Linked DNA regions of Nothobranchius furzeri. The protein of the gene in region 3 interacts with the protein of the main gene of each other region in a pairwise test. Links are inferred from orthologs where the notes say so. Each region holds a gene or a part of one and is shown on either strand. Other genes may lie near its edges. The genes, in order: rras, rras2 and raf1a.

Region 1 (3,750 bases), on a different chromosome or scaffold from region 3:
CACCTCTCTAATAAGGAGCTTGGACACAGAGCTCTGTGAACAGCCAGCCTCTTTAACAATGACCTGTTGTGTCTTGCCCTCTTTATGCAAGGCGTCAGTGGTCGTCTTTTAGAGAACTTCCCCGTGATTGTGTACGAACTAGACTGAGAGATCATTCAGAGGCTTTCACAGGTGTTTTGATTTGATCGGCTGATTAGTGATGTGTCGGTCGCGAACGATGCGGCTCTAAGAGCCAGCTCTTTGAAGTGAACGACGGGAGCCGGCTTGTCATTGGGAGCCGTCCCATCCCCCCCTCCCCCCTGCCTTGGTGAAAGCTACAGGCGATTGGTCAACATGTGTAACTGTGTGTCCAGACTGTCCACACACAGAGCAGTAGGGGTGGGGAAGAGGGAGGATCATACTCAGACAGACACACAGCAGAGCACATGCGGGTGGAGGGAGACGAGAGGGAATCAGGAGCAGGAAAAAGGCGAGCGAGAGGGAGGAGAGCGCGACGAAGACGGTGAGAAAATGAGCGCCAGCAGTCGGAAAATGGAGATTTCTTAAAGTGTTCAGTTATTAAATCCATAGAATGATAAATATTTGATATATTGCTTTTTTTTACATTAGTAAATTATTTTACATATAGTTTAGCATTATTTTGGTTATAAATGTATTCTACGAAACAGAAAATCTGAGGAGCCACTTGGGAGCCGAAAGAGCCTGCTCTTTTTGGTGAGCTGAGCCAAAAGAATCGGCTCTCTAAAAAGAGCCGGAATTCCCATCACTATGGCTGATTATTGTGGCACCAGGGGTCTTCACTATAGAACTTTTTCACAATATTCTAATGTTCTGACTGAGATACAGAATTTGGGATTTTCACTAGTTCAGTTACAATCATCAAAATCAGAAGAAATAAACATTTGAAATATATTATAAAAGTTTCACTTTTTAAATGGAATAACTGAAATAAATGTATTTTATCATGAGATTCTAATTTTAGGACGCGCATGTGAGGGTGAACTCTAAAAACAGGATGAGAGCAGTAAAAGCGGTAATCAGAGTAAATACAGCTTTATTTTATAAACCCCATTAAAGTCGAGCTCCTGTGGAGCCGCTGCAGGTCTCTACTCGAGGCTACAGAGTTCGGCTTGGCGCGGGTCCAGTCCGGAAGTAGTTCTGCGTAGCTGGAGGCTAGGGGCCGGTTCCAGATCCAACACCGAGCCGGGTTTTATTAGGAAGCGAGGTCCCGAAGCGGCGGGAAACGGCGACTGTAATCGGAAACACGTTTTAGGAGCTCTCGTGACGTCACGGACCCTCCAAATTACCAAATAAGGAGAACGACACAAAAAGTTTAGTTTAGAGTGGACTCGGCACATCTGGACCAGGAGCGGCGTTTCGGACTCGAACGCCTCCGAACCCAACCCGGCTCGGCCCGTTAGCACGTCCGTAGCAGATTGTGTCGGTTCTGTTGAGTAGAAGGAGGAAGCGGTTCCGCCCAAAATCTGCCCCAGGCTCCGGAACCACAGCAGAACTCGACGGAACGAGAAGGCGCTTTTCCAGTGAATTTACCGGGCCAGCAGGGAGGGAAAGTCCGGTGGGACCGTTTCAGAACATGAGTTCAGAACCGCGGAGATAAAACCAGCCAAGCCTGTCTACTTGGGTTCACGGTACCGGGTGGACTTTACTTGGACTCTTTCTCAGTTCGGCCTTCAGTTGGACTAAAGCCTTGAAAAGGTTCGGTCCGGACGGAGTCTCCGGACTGACTCGGGATGAGCGGAGAGGAGGAGCGGTTCAAGCTGGTGGTGGTGGGCGGAGGAGGAGTGGGCAAGAGCGCCCTGACGATCCAGTTCATACAGGTAGGCCGGTCCGGTTCGGACCCGCTCACAACTCCTGAAGCTGCTCGTTAATGTTCTAGAGGTGGATCAGAACATCTGAAGTTCTTTAGAACGGGTCCCGTCGGGCCCGAGCGGTTCCCTCAGGTCCAGTAAGACCCACCAGAACAGTGTCCATAGGCTGGTTCTGGCCGAGTCGTTGGACCGGACCTGGTTTAGCTTCTTCAGGATCCAGTTATTGTTTCCGCCCTTAACTGTCACACGGATAGTTCTAATCTGGTTCTGTCCAGGACCCATGGTCCAACCAGAACCCAGCCCATAATGCTGTGGCTGATCTGTGTTCTGTGTGAGTACTGGATCAGAACCATTAGCCTAAGTTGATTACTCCAGGGGTCCATTAGAACCCGGTTCTGATGAGAGGGAGAACGGGTCTGACCAGGTAGTTCCATCAAACTGCTACCAGGTGAGCTGATGTCAGAGTAGAATCCGGACCAGTTTCGGGTCCACCTCTACAACAGTGGTTAATGATGATCGTGTACAGCTGGTTCTGGTTCTGGTTCTAACGCAGACTCTGCCCCACAGTCCTACTTCGTGTCAGACTATGACCCCACCATCGAGGACTCCTACAGCAAGGTCTGCAGCGTGGGCGGGAAGGAGACCCGGCTGGATGGTAGGCTCTGACTCACTTACACGCCTGGTGTTGCTCACAGGCACATGGGCAGAGTGTCTGCTCTGGAGGTTTCAGCAGCACCTTGTTTGGACTTGTCAGTGGGCCGATGCGGTCGGGGTGGGGTGTTCTGGGTTGTGCTGGTGTTTCACCACTCTGATGCAGGTTAACGCCGTCTGATCTCCTCTTACACCTCAAACAGAACCTCAGAACAAGCAGTGACCCGACCCGCTTGGGACAAAAGATCCGTTTATAGGAAGGAATGTTTCTCCATGACCTTGTTTTGGAATTGTAGCGACATGAAGTCTGTTTAGCTGCACTTCTTTTAATGGTTTCACCACATTTTTAACCCAAAACGGTCACATTTCAGCTAAAACGCACCAAAGTTCAACCGAACCTGGTGTGTTATCGTCCGGAGGGGATGCTAATGCTAACTCACTAGTGTGTGTGTCTGTGTGTGTGTGTGTGTGTGTTCAGTCCTGGATACAGCAGGTCAGGAAGAGTTTGGTGCCATGAGGGAGCAGTACATGCGCTCTGGAGAAGGATTCTTACTGGTGTTCGCCCTCAACGACCGGGGGAGGTAAGGTGTGTGTGTGTGTGTGTGTGTGTGTGTGTGCGTGTGTGTGTGGTGTCTGGGGGGTATTCCAGACCGTGAGTTTAGAACATCGGGGATCTCCTGATGAATCCCTGCTTGACCTCCTTTGATTAAAGCTGTGTAGCTACCGTAAATCCTCTAATACAGGCCTGTTTACAATTAACTGCCGGGTATCATATTTTGGCCGGTGTCGGAGTCGGTGGAGGTGAATAATGGCCGGTTTTTTATTGTGGCCGGGTGGAATGTGGTAACAAGCAAGTACGGGGCGCGGTTGTGTCATCCGTCTCACTTTTGATTTGCCAGTGATAGACCGCGAGGGTAACTTTAACCGTGTGGAGACGAAGAGGAGGCAAAAATTTGATATCAAGTTCAAAGAGAACGTGCTGATTATGCTGCAGAACACTCTGGGGAGCAGTAGCAGGGGGTGTATGAACTAGTCGACTTCACCGCTCTGTAGTGACTTTTTATGCCCGTCATCGACTAGTCGCTGTCACGTGATAATGACCGGCAAGATGCAGTCCTCGGAAAAGACAGCAGCCTGCTGTCAGCAGGTGACAAGCTCCTGCGCTCGGGGGGGGCAACGCGCTGTGCCAGAGCGTCGGTACTGACACGCGATCGTTCATGTCGGTTCGTTTCATTTAATGTTTTCTGTCTATTTGCGCCTGAAGCGTTTT
Region 2 (3,750 bases), on a different chromosome or scaffold from region 3:
GATTGGTTGTTGTCAAAAATAACAGCAGATATTGCAGGGGTCCTCAATTATAATGGTCTGAGGGCCACTCCAAAAAAATAAATACCCAGAGGCAAGAGGTCCAGACCCACAAGCCGCCTATTGAGGACCACTGGTCTATGGTATAATGTAATGTTGTGTTTTGTGGCATATATCACCCCAGTACGTTTAAACCAAGTCAGGGCTGGGCGATAGGGCCTTAAATCATTGTCGCGGTATATTGAGGAGTTCACCTCGGTAACAGTAAAAGGATGATATCTACGTGTAGATGGGGATGTCACTTGCATTGTGTTGAGTCATGTTAAGTGGTACAGCTTTTTAAAAGAGCCATAAACATTGCCAACCTACACACCTTTTTTTATGACCAAATTTATTAACATGGGGAAAACGATATTGATATAGTTAGTCAGAAATTTCAATAACGATCAATTTTCGATTAATCGCCCAGCCCTAGACCAAGTGAAAGGTCCCATGTCTGCATTGCGTAATGCAGCTTTACATGTTTTCCTACTTCAGGTCAGTAGGCTAAAGCATAGCCATGCCTTTTTTTTCCCCCTTGGTATGCACTTAATGAGGTTTTTGAACTCTCATTATACCCAACTCCCCCCTTATTTCAAATCACACACTCTGGAGCTTTTCAGCCCCACGCTGAAGCGTGTGCCAGCCCACTATTGTCTGATGGCGTGGAGACATGCAGTTGCCTGCTGTCTGGTCTCCTGGAAGCCAGCAGCAGCGTCAGTACCACACTGACACACAGGGAGGGGTGGAATACGTGTGGCAAAGGTCAGCGTTTGTCATCTCTTGCAAGAAGAGTGTGTGTGTGTGTGTGCGTGCGTGCGTGCGTGTTGGTAAAGAAGTCCACTCCTAAGTGACTATTATGGAAGCCTGGAAGGTCAAAGCGAGGCGGGCTGTGTCTGGAGGAATGCAACCTGGGGTAGAGGGAGGCACACTGTTTACATGCCTTTCACATTAGACATCAGGGGTTTTCAAGTGGGCTGCAGTAAAACTGGTGATGTCATTGTTTTTGAGGGAAGAGGGGGTGCAAGTTAAGCGTTATCTCCAGAGGTATTTATATGTCCACCTTACTGGAAAGGCTTGAAAATGGGCCTAACCAGCAGCTGGTAAAAAGTCTGTATCTGAACTCAGAAGTTAATCATCATTCACTAGAAACGTGTGTGTTGTGTGTTTGAAACTCACTCAACCCAACTCTACTTTCTCAGTCTAGTTCCTGCATGGCGGCGTAGTTGGTTAGCAGTGCAGCGAAAAGGTCACAGGTTCAAATCCCGTCTGCGCCGTCTTTCTGTTTGGATGTTTTCGCATGCATCCGACTACTGCGGCTTCCTCCCGCAGAGCAAGATCGTGCACGTCAGGCTGATTGGAAACTAAAACTGTCCTCTAGGTGTGAGTGACTGAATGTGTGTAAGTGGTGGTGCGTCTCTGTGACGGACTGGAGACCCTGTCCAGGGTGTCACCTGCCTCTTGTCGGATGACCACTGGAGACAGACACCAGCTCCCAGTGAGCCTAGTGGGGGACGGAGTGGTTGAGATGATGAATGGGTAGTAAACCCTGGTTGTCACCCCCTACCTGGGCAGAGGAAACACCTTTGCCCCCAAACACAAAACTGTCCCTAAGTGACAAATGGAACAAATTCACACAAACACATTAAAGTTAAGTTCTGTGATGACAACTGGCTCAGACCCTGACCAAATCTGGCGAACTTTACAGAACCAGGAGAGGTCTAACCACCATGGAAGCATGCAGACACAGCAGAACGACTCACAGCAGTTTGGTGGATCTGAAAACGGATTTACAAGCACTCTGTTTTATTTAAAACACCCTGCTTCTGACTGATGTGGTTTGCTGCTCAAGTTCTTTACACTTGCACAACTTCACACGAAAACAGACTATCTTTAAAAGTTTAAGTTTAAAATGCGGACCAGAGCAGACCCAGTTTTCTTTCTCTTTTGACTCGCGGCTATATAAAGTGGAAGTGTTCCTCTCGGAAATCGTTAAAGTGACAGCCACCATCGTTCATTTCTCCCCATTTCGCTCTGAAATCTTTCACCAGCCCCTCGGTGAGCACTCGCAGGCCCCAGTAAAGTCGAGAAGAGCCCAGAAACACGTCCTTTACCCTGGCCTCCTTCTCTGGTGCGTGATGGCCGTGAGTGTTTTCAGATAAGCAGATAAATAAAAAGAAGCGCTGACGCGGACTGACCTGAATAAACTGGATCGTCAGGGCTGATTTTCCGACTCCTCCGCCTCCAACCACGACCAGACGGTACTTCTCCTGCACCGAGCCGTCCTTCCAGCCTGCCATTGAGGACACTTCACGCCGCCGCTGCCGAAACACCAGTGAGCAGCAAACACCCACTTTTCCCCCTCCTTGTAAAAACTGAAGAGGAGGCCCTGCGGTGGAGACACCGGAACGCAGAGAAGAAGCGACGGGCGTGTGAGCCGAAACGACTCGTCCGGTACGTGCTCGAATCAAGAGGGAGGAGGAGGATGCTGGAAAACTGCGGCCGCCTGACCGAGTTCCGGCCTCTACAACACTGCGCCGTCCAAGATGATCAGATAGAGCGAGTAATCTGCAAGCCACTGCTAATGTCTGGCGCAAGGGGCCCTTCCAAAGGCGGTCTGCCTGCCCCTCTTCTCTATGGACACACACACACACACACACACACACACACACACACACACACACACACACACACACACACACACACACACACACACACACACACACACACACACACACACACACACACACACACACACATTCCTGTCACTAAATCTTTAACCTCACTCACATGTTTTGCATTCATAACTACAATTATGCCCAAAATGTACCCCCCCCCCCAATAGCCTACATTTTCTTCTTAACCCTCTGATGCATGAATTATGAAATCTTCAACCATGATTTTTTAAACAATTTTTTTCATTCATCTTTAGGTGTAAATTAAACAAATTTCAACAAATATTTTTTGTAACATTTTGTTAATTTACAAATAATTTATTACATATCCACCTTGGTGGACAGCGTGCATTCTGACCATGAAATATTTTGGCTTGACTTACTGAAGTCCAAATGGAGGGGCTCACATGCAATAAAGTCTTCAACAGCTGTGCTTATAGCAAAAATAAATAAATAACAATTTTGAGTACCTGTCCACTGTAGTGACCATTATGCATCAAAGGGTTAAGAAAATCCCCATGTCTAAAAAGCTGCGCTGCACATGGTTAATATTTAGTTAACATTTAGTTAACATTTAGTTCTGTGATCAGCCGATCAGCATAAAACTTTCTGCAATTAATAACTGATCTCCAGCAAGGTACTTTTTACTTCCAAAGTACTAACTTTCAATTCAATAAAAAGAAAATTAGTTGAGATAAATAAGAATCTTTATCAGCAGGTCAGAGATGTGCAAGAACAGGACATCAGTATTGGCCTGTGAAACCAGAATGGGTGCATTTCTATTAACATAATAATGCATGCTAGATATTAGTTTTTAAATCTAAGGAATTATTTACTCAGTGTACAGTTGTTGTTTATTTTTGAAAAGTATGCATTTATATCTGTCTCAACAAAGCTGAAATGAAAAAATGACCTGGTTTTGTTTTATTGACAGTTACAAGTTTTGTGTTGAGTGTAGAAGAGAGAACAGAAACCCATTTACCTGATATTAAGGACCGAGTTGGATAAAAGGACTGATTGCATGTCATCATGTAGCATG
Region 3 (3,750 bases):
AGGCCTCAGATGAGAGGAGGAGGACGACATTTTAGGACATGAGGGATTTTAGGAGCTGCAGCCAGAACTTGTTACCTCGATGGTGGTGCTGTCCACGGGCAGGGCGGTGCTGACCATGTGGACGTTGGGCGTGGAGGTGGAGCGCTGCCGTTGGGAGAGACCGCCGCCTGTGGGTTGGTACGATGTGGCGTAGTTGAAGGCGTGGGGGGTGGAATTTCGGTGGGCTGAGCTGTGACAGGATGACAATCGAGCCTTTAGCTAAAAACGACCAAACCAGCAGTGGATGCTTCTGTCGGCCACATCTTCGGGTGAGGGTGTGGGTGTGGGTGAGGTGGCCTCATTAACTCTCCTCAGTCAAGCACCCTTGTTTACGTTGGACTACTGCCACACATTCAGCACCAGAAGCCATTACATGCCTTAGCTGTGTGGTAAACAGCAAAGAGTGAAACTACATTGTTTAAGGGAAGTAGCTAGTGGGCTCGTATTTGTTACTGGTCTTCCTCTTTAGCCGTGTGTGGCTGAGCGGCTTTGTGTCCAGATCGGTTAAAGAGCACAAAACCTTCCAGCCAGATATGCTAATCCTACAGCAGCGCAAAGCCGCTCTCGGATCTGCAGAGAAATCGTCCAGAAGCGGCGCAGAGGAACCGGCTGTTTGTGTTTTTGAGCAGAACCTCGCCTTGGTGTTCTTCATGAGCAGTCCCGCTTTAGACAACAGGAATTAATATTCCTGTCGAGCATTTCGCATTTTTCTGCAAGGAACAACTTGCAGCGACAGCCAATTTAGCAACCCTGGGTGTTTTTTTTAAACCACTTTATCAGCCATCAAAACAACAGGCTGTTTTTCACACCCGGCGTTACATCATTCCTTCCACTGATAAGCTTCCCTGAAGCAAAGACAGCCTTTTAAACACATACAACACAATTAAAATATGATCCTAAAAAAGTCCAAACTTGACCACATGTGAGCCGAATAACATCTAATCTGTAATCTAGTCTACAACAGCTTGATGTTAATCTGGAGGTAATTAAACTTATAACAGTGCAAAAGTTCATTTATGTCAGTAATTCAACTTGAAACACCTGCAAAGGTTTTCCTGAGCCTTTAGATGGCCTCTCAGTCTAATCTGGATTACATAAATAAATGGACCATATTCTGAAGTATTGTTCCAGTTTCACCTGCATAATAAAACCTTGTTTTATCCTTCTGCAGAGGGTTTGTGATGAATAAGTAGAGAGAAGCAACGTCACCTTGGAAACCGTGACAGAGACTCTCTCATCCGTCGAGAGGTGAGCGGCGGCAGTGACGGGGTGCCGCTCTCCCCGGGGACCGGACACAACCTGCCGACAGAAACAAGAGACTAAAGTCCTGAGGAGGGTGTGTTTACAACAGAGCAGTGTGCAAATGACACTAATCTTTACAGAATTACTGTTCATCTACAGCCTGCATGCAAAATGAAACAAAACGGCCTTTTTGGCAGTGCCAGGATGCAAATGAGCACACCCCTATGCAAACTGGGATATCAGCAGAGCTTCCTTCTACTGTTCATCTTTGCAGAAAGTTTGGGTGAGCTCATTTCTAATATAAATCAAATTATAAAGCCCGAGGGAGATAAACGAACTGTGCGTGTGCTGACTTGCTTATTTTAATTGGTGTATTTTTTTGTAATTTGTTTGTTAAAAATGTTGTGCTTCACCATGTCACCATTTTCCCCCATTTAATCAAAAGTTGTTTTTATAATAAGAGACCCCTCTCAGATACTTACAGGAGCTGTCTGATGTTGCTCCAGTCCACACACATCGTGGGCACTTTGGTGCTACAGTGTTCGTGGAATTTGTAGCCACATGTTTGACAGCGGAAACCATTTAAAAGAAACTTCTGGCAAATATCGCAGAAGGCTAGCTTAAGATAGGTCTTCCGAGCCTGGAAATGACAGAAAGCATTTTGAACGTGTTGATTTAGCCGCTGGACGCGGAGGTGAGGGCGCTGCAGAGGACTTGGGTGCTTACAAAATTATGGGTCGTCAGCGGAACGTGATCTAAAACCTCGACCAGCAGCTCTTCCCCAATTAGAGAGGTGGAGTCAGTGTTCCAGTCCATCCGAGATTTTCTACTGGTTGGAAAACAAACCGTAGAAATAAAGGGGGAGAAACATAAGCATGTGATCTTCTTACTTCTGGTTACAATTGTCCAAAAACCCTGAACTCACCTTCTCTGACCTGGGTGCAGCTTGAAGACGGCGCAGCACTGAGGCTGCAGCCCTCGCACCTTCAGGGCTTTAATCAGACACGTGTACAAAGTCAAACCTGGTCGCACGTTTACCTGACACACGGGAAATTACAAATAATTATGATCTGAATTCAGAGGTCGCCGTGTTAAATGTGGAAACTCTAAACGCGTTTCCTAATGCAGAACTAACTCACCACCGTGCGTTGCTGGTTTGGGAGGTAGACACGGATTGTGCTACTAGCCTTCGAGTCTGGCACCTTGCTGTCATCTGAGGAGCGTCGCTGGTGGGGAAAGCCCTGGACCATAGTCGGGGAAAGGCAGGGACCCTCAAACGCAGAGTCCTTCATTCCAAAGCCGTTACTCAGGGTTCTCCACGCTCCTTGAAGGTGCTCCATCAGTAAAACTAAATACTCACAACAATCTATGCAGATCACAAAGGAACACATTGGATCTCATCCATCTCTGTGGGTGCATTCCTCATTTACTGGCTCTCTTAACTAGAACACAAAAGCTGCAGAAATGCATGTTTTGGGGCATACAGACACAATGTTTATGCTGACAATGAGAAACAGCATCTGCTGGCCTGGACACGGTTGATTAAAACACCAGGGGGGGAAAAGTGGCAAAACATGAGATTTGGGTTAGAGCGCTGTAAGGTTTAATCTCAAAACTTAATCTCACCTCCAGCAACCTTTAAATAGAGATCGCATGTGGGGATTGTGGCATAAAAACATATTAATTACTGAGAAAAGCCAGAAACACTGAGCTAATCCAAACTGCAGAGTTGTGTGTTTCTGCGGGTCTTTTTGTCTCGGCTGGAAGTTTATAACACGCAAAAAGAGTCGCGTGTGGCCTATATATGCTAATAAACCAGAAGAAGAAAACAATGAGCTGAGCTAAACTGACTATTTCATGCAAAATGTGTTTCCTGAAAACAAAAGGCCAGGCCATCAAATAAACCCACTCACCTGGATTGTTTCCATCACAAACTACTGAGCTTAATGTAAACAACCAAAAGGTTTTTGTTTATTCTTGACATTCACGTGTTTACCACCACCCTGCAGGTTTATACAGGAGGCTGCTGACCCTGAAGACACTCGTGTTGTTATCATGTCTGCTGTACTTGTGTTAATGCACATCTGCTGCAGACAGGCTAAACGCTGGAGATTTGTTGCAAACGCTTGATTCATCCCAAGCATGAGTTCAGTTTACAACAACGACATGGCTGCTTCATCAAACGTCCACATATGTGATTTTGACATGTAGCAGGTTAGCATGAATGCTGCTAGTGTGTAGCATTCAAACCAAACAAGGGACAAACAGCTATTTGGGATACTCGTGTGGGTTTTCTCGTGCTTTAAAATGATACGTTGAGGGTAGCAGCGAGTGTGTTTTTAAATAAAGCTCGACAGTTTCACCAAAAACAGCGAAGCAGCCAGCAGGCCCTCCCTGAAACAGCGAACTGAACTTCTGCTCGGTTTTTAATGGTTTAACCTGTATTTTGTGTTAATGTGTCTGAAAAAG

What was found.
Region 1: the proteins of raf1a (region 3) and rras interact in a two-hybrid assay, tested with the Homo sapiens proteins (2 studies listed by BioGRID). The link is inferred for Nothobranchius furzeri from reciprocal best matches to the Homo sapiens genes RAF1 and RRAS.
Region 2: the proteins of raf1a (region 3) and rras2 interact in a two-hybrid assay, tested with the Homo sapiens proteins (2 studies listed by BioGRID and IntAct). The link is inferred for Nothobranchius furzeri from reciprocal best matches to the Homo sapiens genes RAF1 and RRAS2.

What each region holds. Positions count from the first base shown.
Region 1 is NC_091758.1:13,997,689-14,001,438, forward strand, and holds the start of rras (ras-related protein R-Ras), read left to right. Parts: upstream 1-1,164; 5' UTR 1,165-1,751; coding exon 1,752-1,838; intron 1,839-2,396; coding exon 2,397-2,484; intron 2,485-2,958; coding exon 2,959-3,061; intron 3,062-3,750. UniProt on the Homo sapiens protein: GTP-binding protein with GTPase activity, likely involved in the regulation of MAPK signaling pathway and thereby controlling multiple cellular processes. Regulates the organization of the actin cytoskeleton.
Region 2 is NC_091749.1:61,866,907-61,870,656, forward strand, and holds the start of rras2 (ras-related protein R-Ras2), read right to left. Parts: upstream 2,666-3,750; 5' UTR 2,337-2,665; coding exon 2,235-2,336; intron 1-2,234. UniProt on the Homo sapiens protein: GTP-binding protein with GTPase activity, involved in the regulation of MAPK signaling pathway and thereby controlling multiple cellular processes. Regulates craniofacial development.
Region 3 is NC_091755.1:58,343,498-58,347,247, reverse strand, and holds the start of raf1a (raf-1 proto-oncogene, serine/threonine kinase a), read right to left. Parts: upstream 2,904-3,750; 5' UTR 2,673-2,903; coding exon 2,421-2,672; intron 2,320-2,420; coding exon 2,207-2,319; intron 2,111-2,206; coding exon 2,008-2,110; intron 1,922-2,007; coding exon 1,764-1,921; intron 1,339-1,763; coding exon 1,249-1,338; intron 230-1,248; coding exon 76-229; intron 1-75. UniProt on the Homo sapiens protein: Serine/threonine-protein kinase that acts as a regulatory link between the membrane-associated Ras GTPases and the MAPK/ERK cascade, and this critical regulatory link functions as a switch determining cell fate decisions including proliferation, differentiation, apoptosis, survival and oncogenic transformation.